Pelodiscus sinensis: one gene and its partners. Each later gene encodes a partner of the first gene's protein in a complex. Links are inferred from orthologs where the notes say so. Each region holds a gene or a part of one and is shown in the gene's direction. Other genes may lie near its edges.

Region 1 (7,774 bases):
TGGGCCCACCGTCTGCTCTGGCGTGGCCAGGCCTGCCATGCTGCAGGATCCTAGTTAACTGTAATGTTCAGCATTTTGTTTTACCAGTTAACTTTTTAATCAGGATTTTACATCCCTAGTCCTGCCTGAGTGGAATGGGCTAGGTGATGTCTCCAGATCCCTTCTAGGCCCATATTTGTGCTTTTATTTATTTATTTTTGATATTTAAACAGTTTTTTTATTGAAGCTCTACTGTCTCCATCATTTGGTGCTAAAATTTGAGGGAGTTGCCTTATGCATAGCATTATGCCTTTTGCTGGCCCTATGAAAATGTGTTGCCTGCACTTACTGAAACTTCTTTGACAGCTTCCAGTCTGCACTGAGCTTGCTCCATCCCAGAGTAGCAGGTGCTGAGCAGGATGCTCTCACCACAGGGATGGCTATGCTGTTAGAGCATGTCTATACAGCAGGGCTAAAGCCGAAATAAGCTATGCAACTTGAGCTATGTCAATTGTGTAGCTTAAGTCAAAATAGCTTATTTCCGCACAGCAGGAAGTCTGAGAGAGAGCACTCTTCTTCCAACTTCCCTTACTCCTCATAAAATGAGGGTTACAGAAGCCGGAGTAAGAATTCCTCCAGCTCAATCATTTTGACATTATTGAAATAACTGCTTATAGTGTAGACGTGTACTGTTATTTTGGAATAACGTCAGGTATTCCGAAATGAAGCTACTGTGTAGACATAGCTTTAGATATTAGAACTGAGAGAAGGGGGAACATCTCTCCTGAGGCAGGAGACTAGCAGTAGGAAACACAGATTCATGGGCATCTTGTAACAGACCCTTAATTTCTATATATACTTGCGTCAAAACCTGAAATGGACTGGAAGATGCCTGCTTCTGCATAATGGATTTGGTTTGCTTTTTAAAAGAAAAAACCTACACACACAAACTACACTGAATGAATGTTAAGGTTGAATGTCAAGGATTCAAAAGTTGGATCTGAAAGCTAAACTGGGTCCTTGCCCCTTTCAGGGCATAGAATGGATGATGCTTTCTGTTATACTAATTTCACCCTTATTCAGTGAATAGCCGTATGCCTTATTTACTGCATACCATTCAACCTTTCTCTCAGTACCGTATTTCTTATGGACAGGGCTTGACAAATCACTAAATCTACTTGCCCGTGGTGAGTAGATTTCAACCAGTCGCCCTGTTCACCGGCAGCGTGCGCATGCACAATGCGGGTCTTGCGCATGCGGAGTGCGGGGCTGGCGAGCAGATTTCACTGCTGTTTATCAAGCCCTGCTTATGGACATTCATCCCTGACTCATTGATGGTGTTGTAGTCTCTGCAAAGCAGTACAGTGACAAGGAGGGAGTCAGTTTCAGGTACTATAGTGATCATATAGCAGAGGCAGGCAAAATACAACTCATGGGGTAGATTCAGCTCAACAAGCTGCCAGATCCAGCCCATTGCCCAATGGGAGGCTTGTGCAATCTTCCTGCCTACCCTGCCTCTGCATGTTGCGTAAATTGTCTGACTGCAAGGACCATGAGCTGCTTTGAGCAGTTGGGGACAGGCGTTGTGCACTGCCTTTCCCCCCAGCACAATCTCGCAGTTCCCATTGGCTGGAAACTAATGGGAAGCTGTTTGGGCTGTGTTTGAAGTGCAGACAGTGTGCAAAACACCTGCTGGGACTTGTGGTACTCAGGGACCATGTATTTCTCTGTAGCCAGCAGCTCCAAAAAGCATGCGGGGGCATGAAAGGCAGGGACTTCCCAAGGGACCTGCTGAGCGGGAACCGTCTAGGTAAGTGCCTCCTGGCCAGAGCCTGCATCTGGGACCCCAGCTCTTCCCTCCCACCAACTCTTTGCCCCAAGTCACAACCCTCTGCACATGTGTCCTCTCCCAGGCCCAGCACCCCAAACATCTGCCCCAGCTTACAACCCCCTCCTCTACCCAAAATCCTGCCTGCACCCCAACTGTCTCAAGCTTCCTTCTGCACCCAACCTCCATCCCATACCTCACATCTCCATTAATATCATGGAAGAGTGTGGCCTTTGTCCACTTACCAAATTCTTGAAGTGGCCCACCATCAAAAATTGTCCAACCTTCTCTTACAGGATCAAGTTCAATAGCAATTTTGTGTTTGACTCCAGTGCGACCTTACTGGTGCACACTTGTGCCTGTAGTTAATGCACCTTCACCCTGAAACAGTCAGGCTAAGCAAAATCTCCAGATCCCATGAAGAGGTACAAGCCTCGAGCACTAGGGACATCCACTGTACTGTTGAGTCCTACTGACCTTGAACACATTAAGCATCTGAAAAGAAAATGAAGTCCTGGAATTGTCTATGGAAAATGGCCAACACAAAAGGGGGAGCTGACAGAGTATAATGTGTTCCCTTATTGTTGTATGGACTGTAGTGTTTGCTGGGGTCCTTAGCTTATCTCCAGTGTAGGGAGTGCGTAAACCAACAAACAGCTTCCTTTTTAAGGCCTTGGTCATATACTAATACTGCCCCAGTACCTAAGTAGTAGGGCTACATCTAGCCTGTAGAGTTTTTGCACAAAAACTCACAGAACGTCCACGCTTCTAGTGCATTTTTGTGCAAGAAAATTTACAGTAAATCAGAAGAGGGGTTTTTGTGCAAGTTATTTCTCTTTGTATGAGGAATAAGCCTTTTTGTGTAATAGCTCTTGCGTAAAAAGGTGGGTGTGGATGGGAAATGGGGTTTTTGGTGCAAAAACAGCCTATCAAAAGAAGCACAGGTGCCCTGGTGGCCATTCTGTTAATGGCAATCACAGCTTTCTTGTGAGAGCATCCATGCAGCCTGGACGCCCTCTTGTGCAAAAGCGCATTGCTTTTCCGATGCACTTTTGCAGTGTGGACATGCTCTTGTGCAAGAAGTTTTTTTTTTGCAGAAGACCTCTTCTGCAAAAAGCTTCTTGGGCAAGAAGCCTGCAATCTAGACATAGCCTAGCATTGTGGCATCCAACCAGTTCTAAAGCAGTAGCCACTGTAGTAGCTACTGCTCTAGTGAACTAGCCTTGGCTCTACCAGCCAACTAGCCATATCTGGCTAGTGTATTCGACATCCCTGCACTAATGTGTCTGGTGTTTTGAATTGCAGGTAAGCGGGAGAGTAGACGAGTCACAAGTATCATTAACTCTGAAAGCAAAATCATGGGATTGGTTTTACTTTTCCCCCCGGCTATGCAATGGCTTTGCTCTATTTGCAAACCCATCAATGAACTTCCTGTAACAGGAGCAGAGCTCTTCCAAACTGCACAGCTGCAAGCGTCTGGGGAGTCAGAGTAATATTCTTACCTGTAGTGGAAACATCTGTTTTCCTCAAGACAGGCTTCCACTTTTTGTATCTGCGTGTATTTCTTTGGTTTCAATTTCAGAGTGGCACATAAACTTAAACTCTGCTAGGAAGGCTGTAGGGGTTTCATGCCAGTCCCAAGGCTGGATAAAGGAGGAGGGTTGGTCAGATGAGTGTCGATATGCTGATTGTAAATCAACAATATGAATAAAATCAGGATATTGGCATTTGAGAGGAGTTGTTATAGAAAGATCCTGAGAATAGGATGGCTGCAGAAGGTCAATGATGAATTTATATAGGAAGATACAGCTGAAAGAGTACCTACTGCAGGTTATACAATGGAAATTACAGCTATTCGGGCATATCTGCAGAATGAACAATAAGAGAAAAGTGAAGACCCTGGTATTTGGCATAATGGATGGTCTGAATAGGAGAGGCAGACCCTATAGAGAATAGGTAGATTATATACAGCTGCTCTCTGAGTTGCGAAAGGTCGAGTTACAACCGTTCGTACTTACGACCAAAGCTCCCACGGAGCGGTCTTAAGGCGGTCCCTGAGTTACAAACGCGACCTGCGCTTACGCAGAGCGCGGTCGCATGTAACTCAATGGGGTCCGAGTTACAAACAGCTCGAGTTATGGCCAAGTGTTTGGTCCATAACTTGTTTGTAACTCGGAGAGAAGCTGTAGTAGATTGGTGTGGAGCTAGTCTACAGAAACTAAGCCACTGTACACTGGACAGGGAAAGATGGAAGGAAATAGAGAGGCATCGGACACCAATGGTCACTGAGCCCATGGTGGTTGATGATATGTCAAACTTATCACAGACCATTTGTAAGTGCATCAGTTCCTGCTCAACACTAAGATATCTTGTGTGGATTACAGAGCACTTGAAAGAACCATTCCGTTGAATGCTCTTTACATGAGACCCTCAAAAGTAATAAAGGGAAGTACATAAGGCAAAAGCCATTAATTTGCCAGAGCCATTGTCCTGTAGTAAAACTGTCCTTTCCCCCTGGTGTTTGAATCCATTTTTACCAAGAGCCCCTGTAGAAAGCCAGAATGAACGTTTTCCATCATCGATATTTTCTAGGGTTAATAGATCAAACTCTCTATTTTGCTAACTGTGCAGCTCCCCTTTCCCCTCCATTCCCACGTCATCTTTCTGTGCTGCCTCCCCCCCCCCCCGTGCTCATTCAGCTCCCTCCCCTCCTAGCTCCACTCCCCTCCCTGCGCCCCCATAACCAGCCCAGTGCTCCCGCCCCCGCTGCTCATTCCCCGCCCAATGGCTCATTCCCCGCCTTCCAGCCACAGCTGCCCGCCGCGCTCCAGCGTTGGCACATGCGCACTGCAATTCCCACTCCGAGTCAGAAGGAACAATTCCGCCCCCCCCCTCCCGTGCTCCTGAGGGCGCCAAAGGCCTCCATGGGCGCATGCGCAACGGTTGGAGCGAGTTTGGAGTTGGTACTCGCCGATTCGTTAGAGCAGCTCCGGCGGCCCGGCCGGGCGCTGGCGCCGCCCCCTCCCCCCACCCACAGAGATGGGCCAGGCTCGGTGGCGGCGGTAGCGCTGGCTGCCTCGCGCGGGGTTGAAGGTGCCGCCGGTGCCGCGCGCGCGCGCGCGCGCCCCCAAGATGGCGTGTGTGTTGGAGACGCCGCTCCGCATGAGCGTCCTCTCGGTGAGTGCCCGCCCCGGCCCGGCCCCCGCGGGGCCCGCTCGGCGGCCGGTCCCGCGCCGCGGCGCCCGGGCGGTGTCAGGCGGCGGGGCGAACCCGACGGAGCCCCTGTGGCGAGGCGGCCGGCCGGGGGCCCTGGCTCCCCGTAGCGAGGCTCTGTCCCCGCCGGCGGCGTCAGGCGAGGGCGCTGCCCTGCTGGGCCCGCGCCCGCCGCCGTGGCCTGCGACTGTCAGCGCGGAGACAAGCGGCGCGACCCCCACCCCCCGGGCGTCCTGAGGGGGGCTCGGAGAAACCACAGGCCCACGCTGGGCGGAGAGAGCCGCCACCTCTTCGCCTTCTCGGCCCTCCCAGCCGCGGCGGCGGGCTCCGGGCGAGAGTAGGCACCCCCTTGGGGAGCTGGGCGGGTCCGCCAGGGATGCACTCCGGGGGGAAATGGGAAGGATGATCGTGTGGGTGGGGAAGCACAGACGATACGAGAAATGCAGAAGAGGTGAGAGAGGAAAGGGGGAAGAGATGCAAGGAGATGCATTGGAAAATGGCATGAAAGGGGGGAGAATGTGTCTGGGGGGAGAAATAAAGAAATGAGAACTTCCTGGATAAAGACAGAAAACTTACAGTTTTAATGATCTTCTGCGTGTGCATCTCTATTTTATTATGTCGCTAATAGATGTCCCATAGCTAGATGTGGGGAAAGATGTAAGAGCCAGAAGAGCATTTCAGTATACTAACACTTTGTGTTGGATATCCTCGTTTAGAAAAACTCAGGTCTTTTCGAATTATTCTGAATTCTCTGGTTATTTTTTATATAATATATTCAGTTCTTAAGGTTGTTTTTTTTTCTGATGGAGACATGGCAGCGATACTTATTTGCAGACATGGTAGGGATACTTATTTTCAGGAAGTACTCATTTTACCTTCCTCTACCTGTATTGGGTTGAGTCTACACAGTTTTATTGTAAACCTTGTACCAATCTCTAGGGATGCAGGGCTCCTTGTTTATGAAGACTGCTGTCTGTCCAGGGCTTTTGAAGCTCCCTTGCCCTCTCATCACTGGCAAGAGGGAATTTTGTATTGGTTGCTGAAGACTGTTCTTTGTATCTCTTCTGAGTGCTCTTCTGATGACCATGCTGCTGCTGCTATCTTGCACTCTAGTGAAAAGACAAGTAGTCCTGTAGCACTTTATTTATTTATTTATTTATATATATAGAGAGAGAGTTAGTCTTTATATATGTAAAAACTTCAACAACAATAGACTAGTAGCACCTTAAAGACTAACAAAAAATGTAGATGGTATCATGGGTTTTCATGAGCACACCTCACTTTTTCAGATGACTCCTGTCACCTGGTATCCAGTTGTTGTTTTTCCTGTTACAGACTAATAACTTGGCCACCCCTCTGAAGTTTTTCTATATATGTGGTATCATGAGCTTTTGTGGGCAAAACCCACTTCCTCAGATGAGTGGAGAGAAAAGGGGGGGAAACCTCACAATTTATAACCGAAAAAGAAAGAGGGGAAGAAAAAAATACCTGTCAATTGTAGTGCTGGTGCGAATGAGGCTAATTGAGTGGTCTGGAAGTATCCTCTACTTAGCTTTTGATGTCAGTGGGATGTGAAGAGGATCATCCACTGCGACTATGTTGACATGTTGTGTTAGAATAGACAACATTTTGTCCTCTTTCAACAGCACTGGAGTTTTAGAATGAAGGAGGGGGCGGGAAGAGTCCTAGGATGAAAGCATTTCTTCTTCCTGTTGCTCTGAAGGGAGGAGATAAGACAAAATACCCATGGTAGTTGCACTCTACTGCCACCCACCAATGTGCTGGGAAAAGTGGGAGATTGTGACTAGGAAAAAAAGGTGTTGCATTTCTTACATCTTTTATAATTGGCAGTGTTATTGGTTAAATGGCAAAATAAAAGAATACGTTACCCAGCACTTCTGGGTAACAGTGTATATTACTGAATGCAAATCTCCCATATTTTAAAATGAAATGTGAACTAAAATCGTGCTTGCCAGTCTGAAATGGGTACCTTAAACCTGAAGTATCTATTTCTGTCTTAATTTTGATTATTTAGTTTTTTTAAGCAGCGTGAAGTAAGGATGTTAAGGACTAGTCAACTAGCTCGTTCCCCCTCCCCTTGCTGCCTCTATCAGAGGCGGGAAAGACGGGGTACTTCAAAGCGGCAGTGCAGCATGGAACTGCCTTTTGAAACGCTGCCTCAGCATTTCAAAGCAGCACCACATGGAGCTGACCCCAGGCTCCATGCAGTGCTACCCCTTTGAAACTCCACCACAATGTTTGCGTGGAGCCTAGGGTCAGCTGGGGACTGCCTAGCTGATCCTGGGTTCCAGCGCAGTGTGCAGAGCCCAGGGTCAGCTGGGGAGCCCCCAGCTGATCCCGGGTTCCGGAGAAATGCTGTGCAGAGTCCAGGGTCAGCTGGAGGGTCCCCAGCTGACCTGGGCTCCATGAAGCATTTCAAAGCTGGTGCCTGCGTACAGCCCAGAGTCAGCGGTACCTCCTGCTGGCCCCGGGCTGCATACAGAGTTCCTCATTCCTCCTTTGAAATGTACAAGAGCCCCACCAACATCTCTTGTACATTTCAGAGAAGGAATGTGGAAGTGCCTATCGACTAGTCGATGGAAATTCCATCGTCTGCTTGACAAGTAAATAACTCGATATTTAACATCCTTAGCATGAAGGCATGTGCTTGTTTCAGTAAAATAGTGCAAAGGTTATATGCCAGCTACTACTTGTTTTTGTATTACAATTTCTGTTTACTCTTCCTTACAAGAT
Region 2 (7,826 bases), on another chromosome or scaffold:
TAGAGTCTTGGAGAGGCAGCTGCTCTGACTTTATACGGTCCCACCCAGCCAACACTTGAAGAATCCTTATCATGGTAGTAACCGAGTAAGGTATAGTGATGCAAAACTGACTCCAAGCTGACGGGAATCTTTTCAGCTTTGGATCAGGCCCTGTGGACAGTGACAGGACAGGAGCTCGCTGGTGGCCTTGGGGTAAAGGCATCTGGATGAAAAGCATTTCCAGTCCCATTCACATGAGAGTTTGGCCAATGTTAGGCAGCAGTGGTTAACCCTCGAGTTAGACCCAATAGCTGCGAACGGGTGAGTCGCACTTTGCCCCAGCTCTGTGGGCCAAGCAAAAGCCAAGAAAGTGTAAAAACAATTACTAGCCTCAGCCCTTTAATACACCCATCTAGTGTACTGCTTTAGCTCAGAGACGTGGCTGCAGTGGCTACAGCTCCCAGCACGCTATGTTCCAAGAGGAGGCTGCCCATAACAGTGGCCTTAGCAAAATCACTTGTTAGATTCCTTCCCACCTGTGAGTTCACTGTGGCACTTCCCCTTCCACCAAAGCCCACAGCGCTCACCAGATGCATGGTGTAGAACTTGATGGTGTCCTGCTGGGAATCCCATTCTGTAGCAACTGCAATAGCCAGGGCCTCGCTGGGGACAGTGAAGAGTTTGGCCTGGGGCGTTTTCAGCTTCCTGTTGTCCAGATTTATTTCAAAGCCGCCTGTGGGATCAGATTAGAGACTTGGTAGGATTACAGGGGAAAGCGCACACAGGATCCAGATGCAACCCCTCTGGCAGGGGGAAGATTCAGAGACAAAGCTGAAGGGAGCAAATGTATCCCCAGCCAATGCCAGGGATTCACCTGGCCCAGGAGTCTCCCCACTGCAGGTCTAAGGGGCACCGTTCCTGGAGGCCGTTTTGCCAGCCATTTGGGATAAAGCTGGCTCGTGCGATCTGGTTTCCAGGCGTGTCCAGCATCCGCTGGCAGGTATGGCCCTTGTTCCAAGCAGAGCCTGAGAGACTAAGCGCTCTTCTCTCTGCCTGGCTGTCACACAAGGGGCCTTGCTGGACAGCCTACCAGACTCCTGGAGGAAGCACTCACCTTCGCCTTGGGAGATGCTAACGTTCTGGTAAAACTTCTTCCTTTCTGAGGGGAAAAAAAGACATCCACTCAGACAGCAGCAAAGGCAGCAGCCAAGACCCTCTCCTTTTCCCTGCCCGCTGCAGATTCACATGCCAGCTCCTGTAGGCAGTGCTCAGCATGACGCAGTTGGCCTCTCTCCCCATTTCAGAGCCTTACTGGTTCAGAATCCCTCTCCACAAGTCCATGTGCCCAAGTGGCTTTGGACCTGCCTGTGGGCTTTGGTGTGAGGTCTGTCCTGGGAGAGAGGGCTCACCGTGAACCAAGGGCCTCTCTTTAAGCAGAGCAGTTGCTTCCCTCTAGTATGCTGGACCCAGCTGTAGTTCCCTAATGTTTAACCAGTTAACCAACTATGCGGGATCCTACCACTCCAGCACCCCAGCCCACAGGGCTCCCACTCCTAGCCCCACACTGAGGCTGGCTCTGCCGGCTCACAGCTCCAGCCATATAGGGCTAGATGCTAGGGCTGCTCCCGGGGAACCGGTTAACCATTCACATCCCTCGCCCCTGCCCACATCTCTCTCATCTAATTAGACTGTAAACACTTGGGGGCAGGAACCATCTGCTTCTCTGTCGATGTCCAGCACCTCAGCTAGTAGAGGCCCACTCTCAAGTGGCCTGTAGGCACTACTGTAATAAACATGACCAATGATAATATTAAACAGATGTGAGGCCCCAGAGAACAGGACAGGCCTGGAATACATGCTGGTGCAATCCCTACCAGCAAGCCCCTCTTTGCCAGGCTGAATATTAAACTAGCCCTGCATCAGCCCAGCTCTTCAGCCACTACCTTGGAAACAAAAGTAATGTGACCTGTCGAGCATTGCTCAGCTGGCCATGGCTTTTCCACCCGCTGGAGAAGCAGCAACTCTAATCAGCAGGTACTATCGGTCCCATGTAGTTAAGGCAGGTCACCAATATCCAGCCAGCTTTTAAAACAGCTCCCTCTGGTGCGATTTCAGGCGGAAGCTGATGATATACCTGAATCTAGAATAGCCCCTAAATTACAGTGCCAAGCTAGCCTGTCACACTGCCCTGAACGCCCTCTGGCTGGATCCAGGAGCATTGCACGCAACACACTGTAAACCCATGTCCTGAGTGAGTTCACGTAGATGCCAGGTAGACCACAGCATACAATTTAATATATTGAGGGTCTACCTCCCGTTATGCTGCACCCACTATGTCAAGGAGAATGTCTGGTGCAATAAATAGCAAGTCTACCTTTAGGGCTACAGGTCATAGTTTTAGAAGCAATTTACATTTGGCATCTGCACTGTTGCAAGGCACAGCCATTAGACTTCTAAATGGCATGAACAGCACCTGCTAACTTCCTGACAGCATCCACATGTAACACAGTTAGATCCCTGCACTGACAGACAGCCCACCCTGCACAAAAACCACAGGCAACATAAATGAATTCAAAGGACTTCTAGGGCCTGTACTATGCAGGAGGCCCGACTAGCTGATCACAATGGTTCTTTCTGGCTTTGGAATGTAGGAATGAATTAACACGTGAAGACAGGCTCTCTGAGGGCATGCAGAGCAACAGCTGATAAATTCCAAACTGAAAGCTATAGGCTGGCCCTGTGGATCCAGTTCCCAGAGTCTGTGTTAACACAGAGACCCGGCCATTTAGACAGACACCTGGTCCCATTTCCCACACAAAACACAGAGAACACAAAACCTCTCCAAATCTTTGCCTTGGCAGTACAACATAGGTGTATGTACATAATCTCTAGAGTTAACAACTGTTACTGGACTGCAGCTCCATTTCTACATCTACTGTGCACACAGGGCCCCTGGGTTTCCAGAGTCCCAGTTAAGGCAGACTGCCTAGAAACAAGACAGTTGCAGGATCAAGGGACTTAAAGAATGCCATATTTTAAGGCTATTCAAGCATGCGCCCACAGCCTTGATCCTGCAACAAGACACCCTCACCCCCTCAAGTCCTGATTTAATGGGGCTCCAGGATGTGCATTTCATTGCAAGTTCAGAGTCTTAGTTTGTGAGAAACAAAGGATCAAATTTCACCATCCTCATACAAACAATTGAAATCACAGAGGAAAGATGTTGAAAGCACCACTTTACGACTAAGGAAGGATGGACTGGGGTGAAGGGACTCAGGAGACCTAGGTTTCATTTGCTGCTCTGCCACAGACTTTGTGTGTGACCTCCAGTTTTCTGTCCTTCCGCATCTCCTGTATAAAGTGGGAAATCACAGCACTGCTTAGCCCTACAAGGGGGCTGTGAGAAGGAGTAGATTAAAGAACTTGAGGTACTCAGCTGCCATGGTGATTGAGCTCATAACAGTACCTAAAATAGAACTGCAGGTACTCAGTGAGGCTGTATGCAGGCAGAGCAGCAGGCTCACATGCTGGCAGCAGGAGGCGTGAGGCATTAGATTTTGAGCTCACTGGGCCAGCGATGTCATTTTCTTTTGCCTCTGCACATAATAAATGTTTGTTGTTGGGCTTGATGTTTCAGATGTTCAGTTGGGGCCCATTCCACAAACCAGAGCTCTCCTCTGTAAATGGGGGACGGGGCATCACATCCCTCTCATAAACTGTGGTCACAGCTGGCTTTTACAACTAGTCAATTCCACCACTGAAAAACATCCCTGCAATTGGAAATAACCATGCTGAAATTTGCCGAGCATGCAGCAGGACTGCTGTCCAGCGTTGTCCTCACCTGTTGGTGGCGTGTATGCCCGTACCATGCACGGCAGCCAAAGACTGGGGCCCCCAACAGGAAGTGTTGGGCACAGCCATGGAGCCTGAGGCAGCCCGGCGTAGAACAGCCGCTGGCAACTGCGCCACATTCTGGGGAGACCGTGAGCTACAGCAAGATGGGAACGGCCTGGACTTGTTACATACAGGTGCGCCTAACACCTTGGGATGGCCTACCAGCATCTAGCCCCCCCCCCCCAAGAGCTCCCTGCCGGGATCACGGCCCCCCCCCCAAGAGCCCCCTGCCAGGATCACGCCCCCCCCCCAAGAGCCCCCTGCCGGGATCACGGCCCCTCCCCCAAAAGTTCCCTGCCGGGATCACGCCCCCCCCCCAAGAGCCCCCTGCCGGGATCACGGCCCCTCCCCCCCCCAAGAGCCCCCTGCCGGGATCACGGCCCCTCCCCCCCCCAAGAGCCCCCTGCCGGGATCACGGCCCCTCCCCCCCCCAAGAGCCCCCTGCCGGGATCACGGCCCCTCCCCCCCCAAGAGCCCCCTGCCGGGATCACGCCCCCCCCCAGAGCCCCCTGCCGGGATCACGCCCCCCCCCCCCAAGAGCCCCCTGCCGGGATCACGCCCCCCCCCAGAGCCCCCTGCCGGTACAAATAGGACCGGGAGGGGAAGGACAGACCCCCGCGGAGCCCACTGTACAGACCCGGGCCCCACTCCCTACGGGGCCGCACGGACGCGACTTGCGAGCCACCTGCCTCCACCTCACCGCCGCGGCCCGGTTACCCAGCCACTCTGCCTCTGGGCGCCGCCATCTTGCTCGCCCAGCGTCCAATCAGCATCACAAACGCTTTTTGTCCCTCCGAGGGCCCTGTCACAAGGCCCTCACAGAAACAACGATTCCCAGGAGCCAGCGCGGCCCCCACGTGACGCCCATCGCCCAATGGGAACGGCGCCCCGCCCGACGCGACGCCCGCTGGGCCAATCAGAGCGCGCGGAGGCGTCGCCGGGAGGCCCTGAGGTAGGCGGCGGGGGCAGCCGGCGAGCGCCCGGGTCAGCAAGGCGGCCGGGCCGGCTCCCTGCAGCCCGTGACACGCTGGCGCCCGGGGACCCCCCCGAGATGCCGGTGCGGAGCGAGTGCTGCTGCCCGGGGGGAGCGCGGGGCCGCGGGGCCGCCAGCCTGGTGCCGCCGCCCCCCATCAACACGGCGCAGCCCGGGGTCGCCACCTCCCTGCTCTACAGCGGGGCCAAGTTCCGCGGCCAGCAGCGCAGCAAGGGCAACGCCTACGAGGTGGAGGTGGTGATGCAGGTGCGGCCCCCCCCCGGCATCCCCCGTGTCCCCCAGCGCCCCCTCGGGCGGGACCCCCACAGCCCCTCCCGGCGCCCCCCCAACATCTCTCCCCTCTCGGGATCCCCCCCAGAGACCTCCCCAAAGCGCCCCTCCCCCCGACACCCCTCTCGAGCCCCCCCTCCTGCTTCCCTTTCTGGGGCCCCCCCAGAGACCTCCCCAAAGCGCCCCTCCCCCCGACACCCCTCTCGAGCCCCCCCCTCCTGCTTCCCTTTCTGGGGCCCCCCCAGAGACCTCCCCAAAGCGCCCCTCCCCCCGACACCCCTCTCGAGCCACCCCCTCCTGCTTCCCTTTCTGGGCCCCCCCAGAGACCTCCCCAAAGCGCCCCTCCCCCCCGACACCCCTCGAGCCACCCCCTCCTGCTTCCCTTTCTGGGGCCCCCCCAGAGACCTCCCCAAAGGGCCCCTCCCCCCCGACACCCCTCGAGCCACCCCCTCCTGCTTCCCTTTCTGGGCCCCCCCCAGAGACCTCCCCAAAGCGCCCCTCCCCCCGACACCCCTCTCGAGCCACCCCCTCCTGCTTCCCTTTCTGGGGCCCCCCCAGAGACCTCCCCAAAGCGCCCCTCCCCCCCGACACTCCTCGAGCCCCCCCCTCCTGCTTCCCTTTCTGGGGCCCCCCCAGAGACCTCCCCAAAGCGCCCCTCCCCCCCGACACCCCTCGAGCCACCCCCTCCTGCTTCCCTTTCTGGGGTCCCCCCAGAGACCTCCCCAAAGGGCCCCTCCCTCCCCAGGGCATCCCCTCCAGTCCCAAGATGCCGCCTTCTGCAGTTCTCCCACCAGGGATTCCTACCCCCCTCCCCCAGCATCTCTCCTCCTTGGGGCATCTCCCCTGAGCGTCCCTCGTCTTGAGGGAACCCTTCCACCACCACCCTGTAGCCCTTCCTGGGGCTCTCCTATGAGTGATCCATCCCCAAGTGTCTCTCCCTTTAGAGGAATCCACCTGAGCGCTTCTCTCTGCTGTGAGGCACCCTCCCCCCCCAGTGCTCCCCTGCACCTCTCCTGGGGTCCTCCCCCAGGGACACCCCCTAGAGTGCCGTCATTTGGGGACTTCCTAGTTTGTCCCTGTCTGCTGCTGGGGTCTTCCTAGTGGGACTTCCCTCGAGAGCATCCTCTGCTGCTCTCCCAGCAGCCTCCTCCTAGAGCACCTCTAGCATCTTCCCTCTCACTCTACCCTAGACTGTCTCCCAGGGACCTCCTGAGCAGCACCTACCCCCCCCCCCCGCCCGCCGATTCCCCCAGTACCCCATGTCTCATCTTTTAGGGTCCTTTCTCTTGAGATCCCCCTATTCTCCTAGAGCACCTCTTGGGGATTCTTCTGTTCACTTCCTGCCCCACTGCGGCCTTCTTTGGAGGACCTCTGACCAGCAGAGCATGGACTTCTGTGCAACCCAGGCACTCACAGGCCCCCTGAGAACTCTCCTCCAATGACTACTCCATAGAGATTTCTTTCCCTAATTCCCCCATTTCACAGAGATCAAGAACCAACATCGGTACATGCAATATTTTATTTTAAAGCATCTTTCTTTCTCAGATTGGGTCCTTGGTCCCTGAGATGTCCACAAGGACTGCCTTCCTTTATGTATCCATGTTGACCCCATAACATCCCCTCATGTGATTTCTCCATTCCTAAGGCACCCCTTCCCTCAAATTGGGACCTACTGCTCCTAAGACCTTTGTTTTGGGTCCCCCACTTCTAGGGAACTTCATCTTCAGAGATCAGGTGGGGACCCCAGACCAAATAGCACAGGCTGGGTCTGTGAGGTGGCTGTCCAGGGGAGGTTAGGGACCCTTCCTACCCAGGGAAGGCCTTCATGACTCCAGATGTACCCTGGCCCAGCAGCACTTGCGAGGGGCAGGTGATGTGGGTGGATCCCCTTCCCCAGAACACCCTTTGCCCCCAATTTGGATCTGAAACTCAAGAGTAGCTGTATAACAGAGAAAAACAATCTCTGATCTGGGCAAGGTAGGTGACACCTTTCTAGGGACCCATCAGGCCTACAGCCCAAATTGCCCCTTCCTGGAGCAGTGGGAGTAGAACAGAGTAAGTGAATGAAACTAGCTTGAGTCTTCTTCCCACAGCTGCAGTTGAGGAAGAAAAGCAGCTGGGACTGGCTGAGTGGGTAGTTGCATGGCAAGCCAGGCTACATCAAGAGGGCTGGGGAGGAAACTACTGCATCACATGCTTGTCATCTGGGTGTAAGCTGTTCTCCAGCCATCATAGACACTGCCAAGCTGTGCACAGAAATTCAAATGACGCCCCCGGTGATTAGCAGAGTCCCACAGCTAGGCTTTTTGTTTCTACTGGTGGTGCACATCTGCACATCCCTCTGTGCACGTATAAATGTATTCCGCACATGGTTGGAAAAGATTAGAGGAAACGTTGATCATAGGTGTTTTGGCCCTGGGGGCTTGCATGGGGATTTCAGCCTTTCAGCCCTGAGATTAACAATCCCTGCATGTCTTGTCTCTGTCTTGGAAGTGTTTGGCTCTCACCGTGACAAGGGGACAATGGCCGTGCCTACTGGCATGTCAGCAGCACAGCTTCAAGGCTGCAGATGTGTCATTGTGGTATAGTGTAATCCCTTCTTACTGCAACAGGGCTTTTTCTGTTGTGGTAGTTAATCCTGCTCTGTGGTCTGTGGTAGCTAAGGCCAGGTCTGCCCAGCTGTGTTGCT
Region 3 (7,945 bases), on another chromosome or scaffold:
TTTCCTACTTTTTAAAGTCCTTACAAAGTTGTAGTTAATAGAAGATTTTACAGAAAACTATTTTGGAATACATCCCATCATCTTTGAAACTCTTACACTCATGGAAAGCTTGGTTCTTTAGAGCAGTACTTTTAGTCAACACAAGTCATGCTGCTGTGATGGAAGAGCAGATTGCCTCCAGAGAAAGAAGTGTGGCACAGGGAGTTGGCTGACCAATCTGCTAAATACCTGGTAATGTTTCAAACATAGAGGGACCTCAAATATTTTTTTAAAGATTTGGTCTGACTTTTTATACATCTTTGATTAATTCCTACTAAACAAAAGCCAATGTAATTCTTCCTTTCCTCTCTCTGCCCCCCTCTCTTTTGATTTCCTCAGTAGTTTACTTTTTCCTTTTTTTTTTGTTCTCTTATTTTGAGGGAAAAACCTCAAATATAAATAAAAATAATAAAGATTAGCCTTGCTGTTTTCTAGTGTCTGCAGGACACTGGAACATGGGAGATGTTGCTGCTATTATTTGGTCCAGTCTCTTCCAAGCGGGGAGCATATTGCCACTCTGAAATAATAAGGGCCCTACCAAATTCATGGTCCATTTTGGCCTATTTCATAGTCATAAGATTTTAAAAATAAAAAATACCATTATTTCAGCTATTCAAATTTGAAATTTCACAGTGTTGTAATGGTATGGGTCATGACCCAAAAAAGAGTTATGGGGGTGGATGGTGCATAACATGCCACCTTTAGTTCTGTTCTGCTGCCTTGAGAGCTGGGCTCTTAGTCAGAAGCTATCACTCTCTTGCCACCCAGTTCTGAAGGCAGTGCAGAAGTAAGGATAGCAATATTGAGAACCCCCTGCAATTCCCTTTTGGTTCAGGACCTCCAGTTTCAGAAACACTGGCCTCTCCCATGAAATCTATATATCAGCACACAAAAAACCTGATTTCTTGGAAGGAGATCTATTTTCACGGTCCGTGACGCATTTTTCATGGCTGTGAATTTGGTAGGCCCTAGAAATTACCACTAAAGACTGCTTCTTCTAAGCATCCAACTTCTTCTATCTCATCCAACCCTCAAGTCACAGAATGACATTTTAAAGAGTTTGGGACTTCTCTTACACAATACAGAAATGTTTTGGCAGATAGGGTGTGGGAAATGTGAAGTGTTTGTTATTGGGATATTTGTCCTAGAGAGTAGCATGGGCTTTGCATTGGGGAGGAAAGAAATTATGTGGGGAAATTTTCCCACTTGCTTTCCAGACACCCTTCCCTCACAGTTTAATACATTCCAGTCTCCTTTCTTCATCTATTGAGAGCACCTACCTTAATGAAGGAGTTAAGGACCTGTTTCCCACCTCACATTGTACATATGCTTCAAATATGACCTGGTGCTTCTAAATCTTAAAGCATGCCAGATCATACAGTACTAGGAATCGGAGAGCCCACCTGAGCGCACAGTTAATTGGACAGACCAGCAGGCATTACACAGTGGATGATCCAACACTTACTCCACCTGGTATAAGGTAGAGAGAGGAGAATGAGTAAGCTGGCAGGCCAGCCAATAATGTATTTATAATACATTGAAACTAGGATAAAACTTGAGTCACTATAATCAGTTAGACGCTGATTCACCAAAATATCCAGGATTTTCTTCATAAACTATGATGTTTGTAAGGAAGACTGGCTGACAATGCAGACAAAACAAATCAAGACCATACAGATTTAGAAATTATTTGAATCTTTAAAACATACTTTAAAACTTATATACATTAAGAAGATATTTCTACCAAGAAAATGAGAGTTAATATGGACATGTGTTTTCATCATTGTGGAGGCAGGAAAAGGGAATAAGGGAATTTGTGTGCAGCCATCTTGGTCTTGTTAACAAGAAAGCAAGAGTCAGGCTAAGTCTGTGGTCTGACAATGCAAGATCTGTGATTAGACGCTGCCTTTGCCTCTCGCCTCCATACCAAGATAAGGGTAGAATGCTGACTCTGGCAGGGACCTTGAGATAAGGAGCATCTGGGTGGAACTAAATAACTGTTAGCCATTGGTGTTTGTAATGGGAAGGAGACTAATTGTTATTGTTATTATATTTAATAGACAGTATATAAACTGCTTCATAATTGCTTGTATTTGAAGATCTGCCTCGGGGGTGCTCCCCCCCGTCCGAACCAGTTTTTCCCTTGCTGCAGCTCCTAATAAAACTGCCTCTGGCTACTTGTTGCTTACAAACTCAGAGTGAGGACAACGTTTTCTTCCACATCATTAAAACAAATAGAATGCTCCTAAGATTTCACAGTTTTCCTTTGTTTGCAAACTCATTAAAAAGGCATTTGCTCAGGTAACATTCAAAACATTTTTTTTAAACAAAAATTACTAAACCCTCCTCCCTCCCCCCAAAAAAGCTTAAGCTCTACAGGAAACTGTTTGTACACATATCATTGTTTGTCATTCTATATTTTCACACCCAAAATAGAGGAGGAGCAGTGTGCCCCTGGAAGCAATAGTTGTAGTACAGCACCTATTTTTCTCTCAATTTCCATTTATATTGTGCAAAGTCAATTAAGGGAAAATTATATTATACATAAGTCAATGAAGGGAAAATTATAAATAATGTGTGTTTTGTTTGCCTGAAACTGTGAAGAAACTAGGAACCAACACAGCTGCACATACCTGGTCAAACTTTCCCTTGTTTTTTTATTCAACAAGACATATTTATTTTTCCTGCTGTTATAATCTGATTTCAAAATTTTTGTTTTCTTTTTACCTGTTGTTGCAGTTGTAGTCTCAGTTATACTCTGCTACAGCCTTCTCTTCTTTTCCTGTGTTTGAGGTGTGGACCTCTGTAAAATAGAATCAGGAAGTAGTCATAGGGACTGGACCTACCCAACCTCCCCACCTATATAGAAGTCTCCAGATAAACCCCTCCTTTTAGGGAGGAGTTAGTAAGGTCAGATAATTTGAAGGTTTGGGGAGTGATTGGTCAGGATATGTTCTTCAATCATATTAATTAAAGAAACATAGAAAATAAGTCCTATGCTTCTGGTTGGGAGCCAGAAACTTCCTGAGTTTCCTTGCTTACACCTTATATTATTCCTGATGAATTCCAGAAGGTTGATGCAAAACCCATTAAAATAAATAGGTATCTTTCCACTAAATTAAACTGACTTTAAATCATGCTTTCGAGTGGATTATAGAAGATAAGAATAAGATGATTGACAAATGTAGAGGCCTGCACTATTATCTGGAGTCACAGATGCAAGGTTTATGGTTTTTTTTATTTGTATCTCACACTCATATTTTGTAGTGCTCTTCAACAGTAACTTTGAAGTGCTTATGATAATTAATAATAGTAGGGGGCTATGCCCTCTGCTTGCTACACTTGCCAACCACCATCACCACCTCGCCACTGGGGAGGGCCCATAGCGGCCCCGGGGTTCTCCCCCCTATCCTCAGCTACCGGGAAGGGTCCAAAGCCGCCCTGGGCCCCGCTCATCTCTTCCCACCAGCCACCAGGAGGACCTGGGGCAGCCCCAGCTATTCCCCGCCCCCAGTCCCTTGGCCACTGGGGAATCTGAGGTCGCACCAGCCATTGCCCCCATCCCCCTGTTGGCGGGTCCTGGTTCTTAGCTCTGCCTGGCTGCCAGGAGGGCAAGCTGAGGCTGCACTGGGCACGGCTCTCTCCACAGCCGCAGGGAGGGGCTGGACCAAGACCATGCCAGCCCTGGTCTCTCCCCCCTCCCTCCACTGCTGGGAAGGGCTCTGCGGAGGCTGTGGCAGCTACAGCTCTCCTCCAGCTGCTGGAAAGGGGAGAGGAGGGAAGGGCTGGGGCCACAGGCAGCCCTAGCTCTCCACATGGGCCCTGGCGAAGGCCAGGCTGGGAGTGGGTGGGACTTGGCTCCTGTGGACGCAGAGTGATGTGAAAACATCATTCTGTTGTCGCACAGGAAAAATGTTTATATATAGAGAGATACCTACTTGTTCAAAAATCTGTTTTGATTACAAAGATTCAGTAGAGACCTGTTTTGAGAAATAACTCAAATGTAAAGTTCTTCCCGCAGGGGGCTTGACTTGATGACCAGTTCATCCAAGACTAGGGGTTATGCTTTTTGGGACAATTGCAAAAAATGAGTGCAGAGAGCAACTTTAAATTATTGCTTTTCATGGAGATAGGAGAAAGTAAAATGACCAGTTTTCCTGGAGGACCCTGCTGTATATTGTTCTGAAAATACAGGCTTCTGTTTTAATACGGATTTACCTATTTCTGCTAGGGGCTGATTTTTTTTAAAAATTATGTTTCTCAACTGAAATAGTTACACTGGTACACTCCCTTGTTTGGACCTTTACATGGCAGAAAGGATACCAGTGTAACTGTGTCCACATTGCAGGACTTGTCATGTTTGAAATACACTGGCATGATCAAAACAATCCTCTGGTCTGTGCCTAGGGCAGACAAGGCCTACGGGAAACTCTCCCTGCACAATCCCTACCTCCCAATAATAATCCCTGTGCAGCCAGGCTTAGTCTGTGTTCAGAGTTGGCCCCCCAGTCCTGCATGCCCCACTGTGTGCTTGAGATTCACATTCACCCACTGACTTGCATGGGCCTAATCACTGGCCTGGCTGAGAGGCCCTGATCCTACAGAGCCTGTCAGCCAGGCCCAGGGGTGGCCCAGGGGAGGGTGGTCAGCGCCCACCACAGGTCCACGCCAACGCTCTCCACTTGTTGGCACAGCCTACAAGGCCTCCCTCCCACAATCTCTATGGTACCTCCCGGGCTACCTCTCTGGGCTTGCCTTCCGTAATCTCTATGGTGCTTTCCCCTCTAGGTCGCCTCTGGGTTTCCTCTTCCTCCCATCTCTATGGTGCGCGCGGCCCGCCGGCTCCGGCAGCGGATTGGCTGGGAGGCAAGTTCTCGCGAGACGATAGTTGAGCCCAGCGTCCCGGCGGAGGGAGGAGGCGGAGTGGGGTTCTGGGCCCGTGCACCGGAGCCGGCGGCGGTGGCTCGTTCGGTAAGATGGCGCCTGGCGGCCCCTTTCCTCCCGTGGGGCGAGACGGCGCTGGGCCCAGGCAGGGGGTCCGATCCCGGGCGGGATGGAGCCTGAGGAGGGGGCTCGGGGCTTGGCGGCACAAGCGGCCGCAGCCTCCGAAGAGCCCAGCAGGCCGGACCCCTCCCCACGGGGGCAGCGGGGCTGAGGGACGGGCGCGCTTGGGAGGGCCGAGGAAGCCTTTAGCGCCTTGGAGGCGATGCTGTGAAGACCGGCAGCGAGCCGGGCCACCCGGCCGACCCTCGGCCCCTTGTGAGGTGCGGGGCCGGGCAGCCTGTGTGAGAGACGGGCTGTGGGACCCCTCGGAGGGGCGACTCGGTGGGCGGCCGTGTGTGGGGAGGGAACGTCCGTACAGTGGCGTCTGTTGTTTAGGGGGGAGGGGAGAGAGCGAGAAGGGGGTGTACGGTGGGTTTCAGATACAGTGGCGGATCTCAAAAGCAGAAGAGTTCAGTTCTCCGTTTGCTCACCTTTTGTTTAGCCAACACGATGTCTTGAACCCGCCCAGAAGGTATAAATAACCGAGCTGGTCACATCGTTCTTCTAGGCAAATTAGACTTAACTTTTCTTTCACCAGCTGGTATGTGTGCCCAGAAAGATACTTTTCATCCCTTTTAGTGAAAGTCCAGGATGAGTTATGCAGAAAAACCTGATGAAATCACAAAAGATGAATGGATGGAAAAACTCAATAACTTGCATATCCAGAGAGCCGATATGAATCGCCTGATCATGAATTATCTTGTTACAGGTAATAGTGAGTAATGGATGCTAGTATTACATTTCGTAGGTTGGTTTATTTTTGGATCATCTGCTGTTTATTTTAATCAATACAATTCATCCTTACTAGAATAAGCTATTAAATGGTTGATATTAATAGATATCACTATTGCCTATATTTTCTGTGGTTTCTAGAAAATATTTTTTCTAGAATTCACAGAAAATATAGCTTAATAAAAATAGTTTTAAAATGAGTAAAGGAAAAACAATTTCAGTACTGCCTAATTACTTTTTTATTAGCATATCACACGCACCCTATTAGCAGCACATTATTTTTGCTAAGCAAAACATTAAAGAACCAAATGTTCTTTACTTTAACTATTTAGACTCTACTGGTTTTACCCAATATATATTTCCTGTTTTAATCTTAGTTTTTCTGTTAAAAAGCTGTTTCCTTTATGGCATTTCTGGTTTGAAATACTGTTAACAAAGACTGCTCAGAGTTTAATATCGCACCTTTGATTATACTATTTTCCTTAAACTGAGCGTGTGATGGCTTTTACTAATGTAATCTGGACAGCATTGAACAAACTGTATCCACACTCTTTTCATCACAGAACAGGAGGAATGATCAGAAACCAGCTTCAGCTAATTTAGTCGAAAGAGCAGAATAATTCTGAGGAAATAATGTTCCCAAAACAGCTCAAGAATATCAGAATACTAAACATGTGAGACATCCAGAAACTGCAACTTAAGAGAAACCAGAAACCCCTCAGAAATTGTCATTTGGCAATGTGATATATTAATTTCCATTTCAAGATGCACCATAGTGGAGCTGTTCATACGCATCAAGTGTCCCCCCTGTTTGTGTATATGGAGCTGGAACCTGAGCAGTGGAAGACACACTTGAGTGACCATGCCAAGTTTGTCATAAGTTGTTTATATGTAGGAAAAGAGTGCCTAATAAGAATGTAAAATTCTGGTTAATCAGTTAAACATCAGGTAAACCTAATGCAGCAGGTAGGGAGCTGCTCCAGCCCCCATGGTTAACCTGAATCAGTAAGTTTACCAGTTAACTGGTTATCTTTTCACATCCCTAGTGCTTGTATAGTTGAGAGCCTTTTTTTTTGTAAGATAAAAAGAGCCTTAATGTGGTATGCAGATGAGTCATGTTTATGCTAATTATAAAATGTCTATGAGGGATGTAAAATCCTGTTCAGTTGATTAACTGCTTAAACATGATATTTAACTAGTTAGCTGATTAAAGAGAAGGCAGGTGGCGGAGGGCTCCCCTCCTGTCTTCAGTAGGCTCCCTGAAGCTGAAGCATCCCCTTATGGGAGGCAGGGAGCTGTTTCAGCCCCCAGTGGTTATCAGGAACCAGTTTTTGCTATTGTTTTTCCTGCAAAAGAATAACCATGCCTAAATATGCCTGACAGGTCCAATAATGGGGTAAATGATAAACTTGAATCCTTCCCAGTAAAATTTTATTTTATATATAGTTAAATATAGAAGGGATAGGAACTGAATGGATTTAAGGAGAATTAAATGTGAAGTTTTTATTTTGATATATTTACAAAAATGCCAGCTTCATTGAAATGATTCCTAATAGGATTTTCTGCACATCTTTGTATATTCTCTTAATTTGGTTTATTATATAGAAATTCAGAAAACAACATTTAGACCACAAAGTTCCATAGCACTGAATGTCAATATCCACATCATATAGCTTTACTCCAAGTGTCTATAAAAGCTCCAGAGGGTTATTACTAATGTGGTGCAGCCCAGCCAGTCTGTAGCCATACAGTATCTCCTCCCGACCGCAAATCTGATTTTCAGGGCTCAATGTTCAGGGACTTTGGCTGTGTGACCAAAAAGTGCATCTGGTGGTGACTGATGAGGACTTCAATCCTCTACAGGTCACTTCTCAATAATACATCCCTATTGCTGAGAAAATCAAACTATATTATGTCCAGTAGTTCCTTCTAGCAACATATCTGAAATGCTTCCAAGCCTCCTGACATCTTGTTTAAGCAACATTTGTGTGTCAGAGCTATATAAGACAATTGGATGTATTCATGTTTGATAAATCTGTACTTTTGTATATACCTTATTAAATAGAATTCAAAGATAAAACACTTTTACATTTCAGAGGGTTTTAAAGAGGCAGCTGAGAAGTTTCGGATG

The links.
Region 2: the proteins of ARMC8 (region 1) and GID4 are in contact, whole or in part, in a cryo-EM structure (PDB 7NSC), measured with the Homo sapiens proteins. The link is inferred for Pelodiscus sinensis from reciprocal best matches to the Homo sapiens genes ARMC8 and GID4. Residues at the interface, in NP_001350870.1 of Homo sapiens: Glu309, Pro310, Asp311, Val312, Asn371, Glu373, Arg406, His409, Arg413, Ser414, Val415, Gln416, Arg419, Thr420, Gln423, Asp424, Val444, Ser448, Cys451, Asn452, Leu455, Phe457, Ala483, Val486, Asn487, Trp490, Met493, Asn494, Phe497, Gln498; in NP_076957.3 of Homo sapiens: Leu104, Ile105, Pro106, Pro107, Pro108, Pro109, Ile110, Gln114, Pro115, Gly116, Val117, Ala118, Thr119, Gly125, Gln146, His147, Tyr154, Cys156, Tyr158, Phe174, Glu176, Phe239, Val241, Pro242, His244, His292, Ser293, Ala294, Pro295, Ile296.
Region 3: the proteins of ARMC8 (region 1) and GID8 are in contact, whole or in part, in a cryo-EM structure (PDB 7NSC), measured with the Homo sapiens proteins. The link is inferred for Pelodiscus sinensis from reciprocal best matches to the Homo sapiens genes ARMC8 and GID8. Residues at the interface, in NP_001350870.1 of Homo sapiens: Asn45, Val47, Ile48, Gly49, Asn50, Val85, Ser89, Met92, Arg127, Arg130, Arg161, Tyr162, Tyr166, Leu200, Ser201, Tyr202; in NP_060366.1 of Homo sapiens: Ile83, Ala84, Asn87, His90, Pro91, Glu92, Leu94, Asp95, Thr96, Tyr101, Tyr183, Glu184, Asn185.

The regions. Positions count from the first base shown.
Region 1 is NC_134720.1:4,087,087-4,094,860, reverse strand, and holds the start of ARMC8 (armadillo repeat-containing protein 8), read left to right. Parts: upstream 1-4,725; 5' UTR 4,726-4,939; coding exon 4,940-4,984; intron 4,985-5,301; exon of another isoform or gene 5,302-5,357; intron 5,358-7,774. UniProt on the Homo sapiens protein: Component of the CTLH E3 ubiquitin-protein ligase complex that selectively accepts ubiquitin from UBE2H and mediates ubiquitination and subsequent proteasomal degradation of the transcription factor HBP1.
Region 2 is NC_134726.1:33,124,101-33,131,926, reverse strand, and holds the start of GID4 (glucose-induced degradation protein 4 homolog), read left to right. Parts: upstream 1-4,795; 5' UTR 4,796-4,924; coding exon 4,925-5,113; intron 5,114-7,826. Other genes in the region: ATPAF2 (ATP synthase mitochondrial F1 complex assembly factor 2), read right to left, coding at 567-712, 1,094-1,138, 3,821-3,950.
Region 3 is NC_134728.1:7,429,096-7,437,040, reverse strand, and holds the start of GID8 (glucose-induced degradation protein 8 homolog), read left to right. Parts: upstream 1-4,855; 5' UTR 4,856-5,010; intron 5,011-5,661; 5' UTR 5,662-5,673; coding exon 5,674-5,791; intron 5,792-7,910; coding exon 7,911-7,945. UniProt on the Homo sapiens protein: Core component of the CTLH E3 ubiquitin-protein ligase complex that selectively accepts ubiquitin from UBE2H and mediates ubiquitination and subsequent proteasomal degradation of the transcription factor HBP1.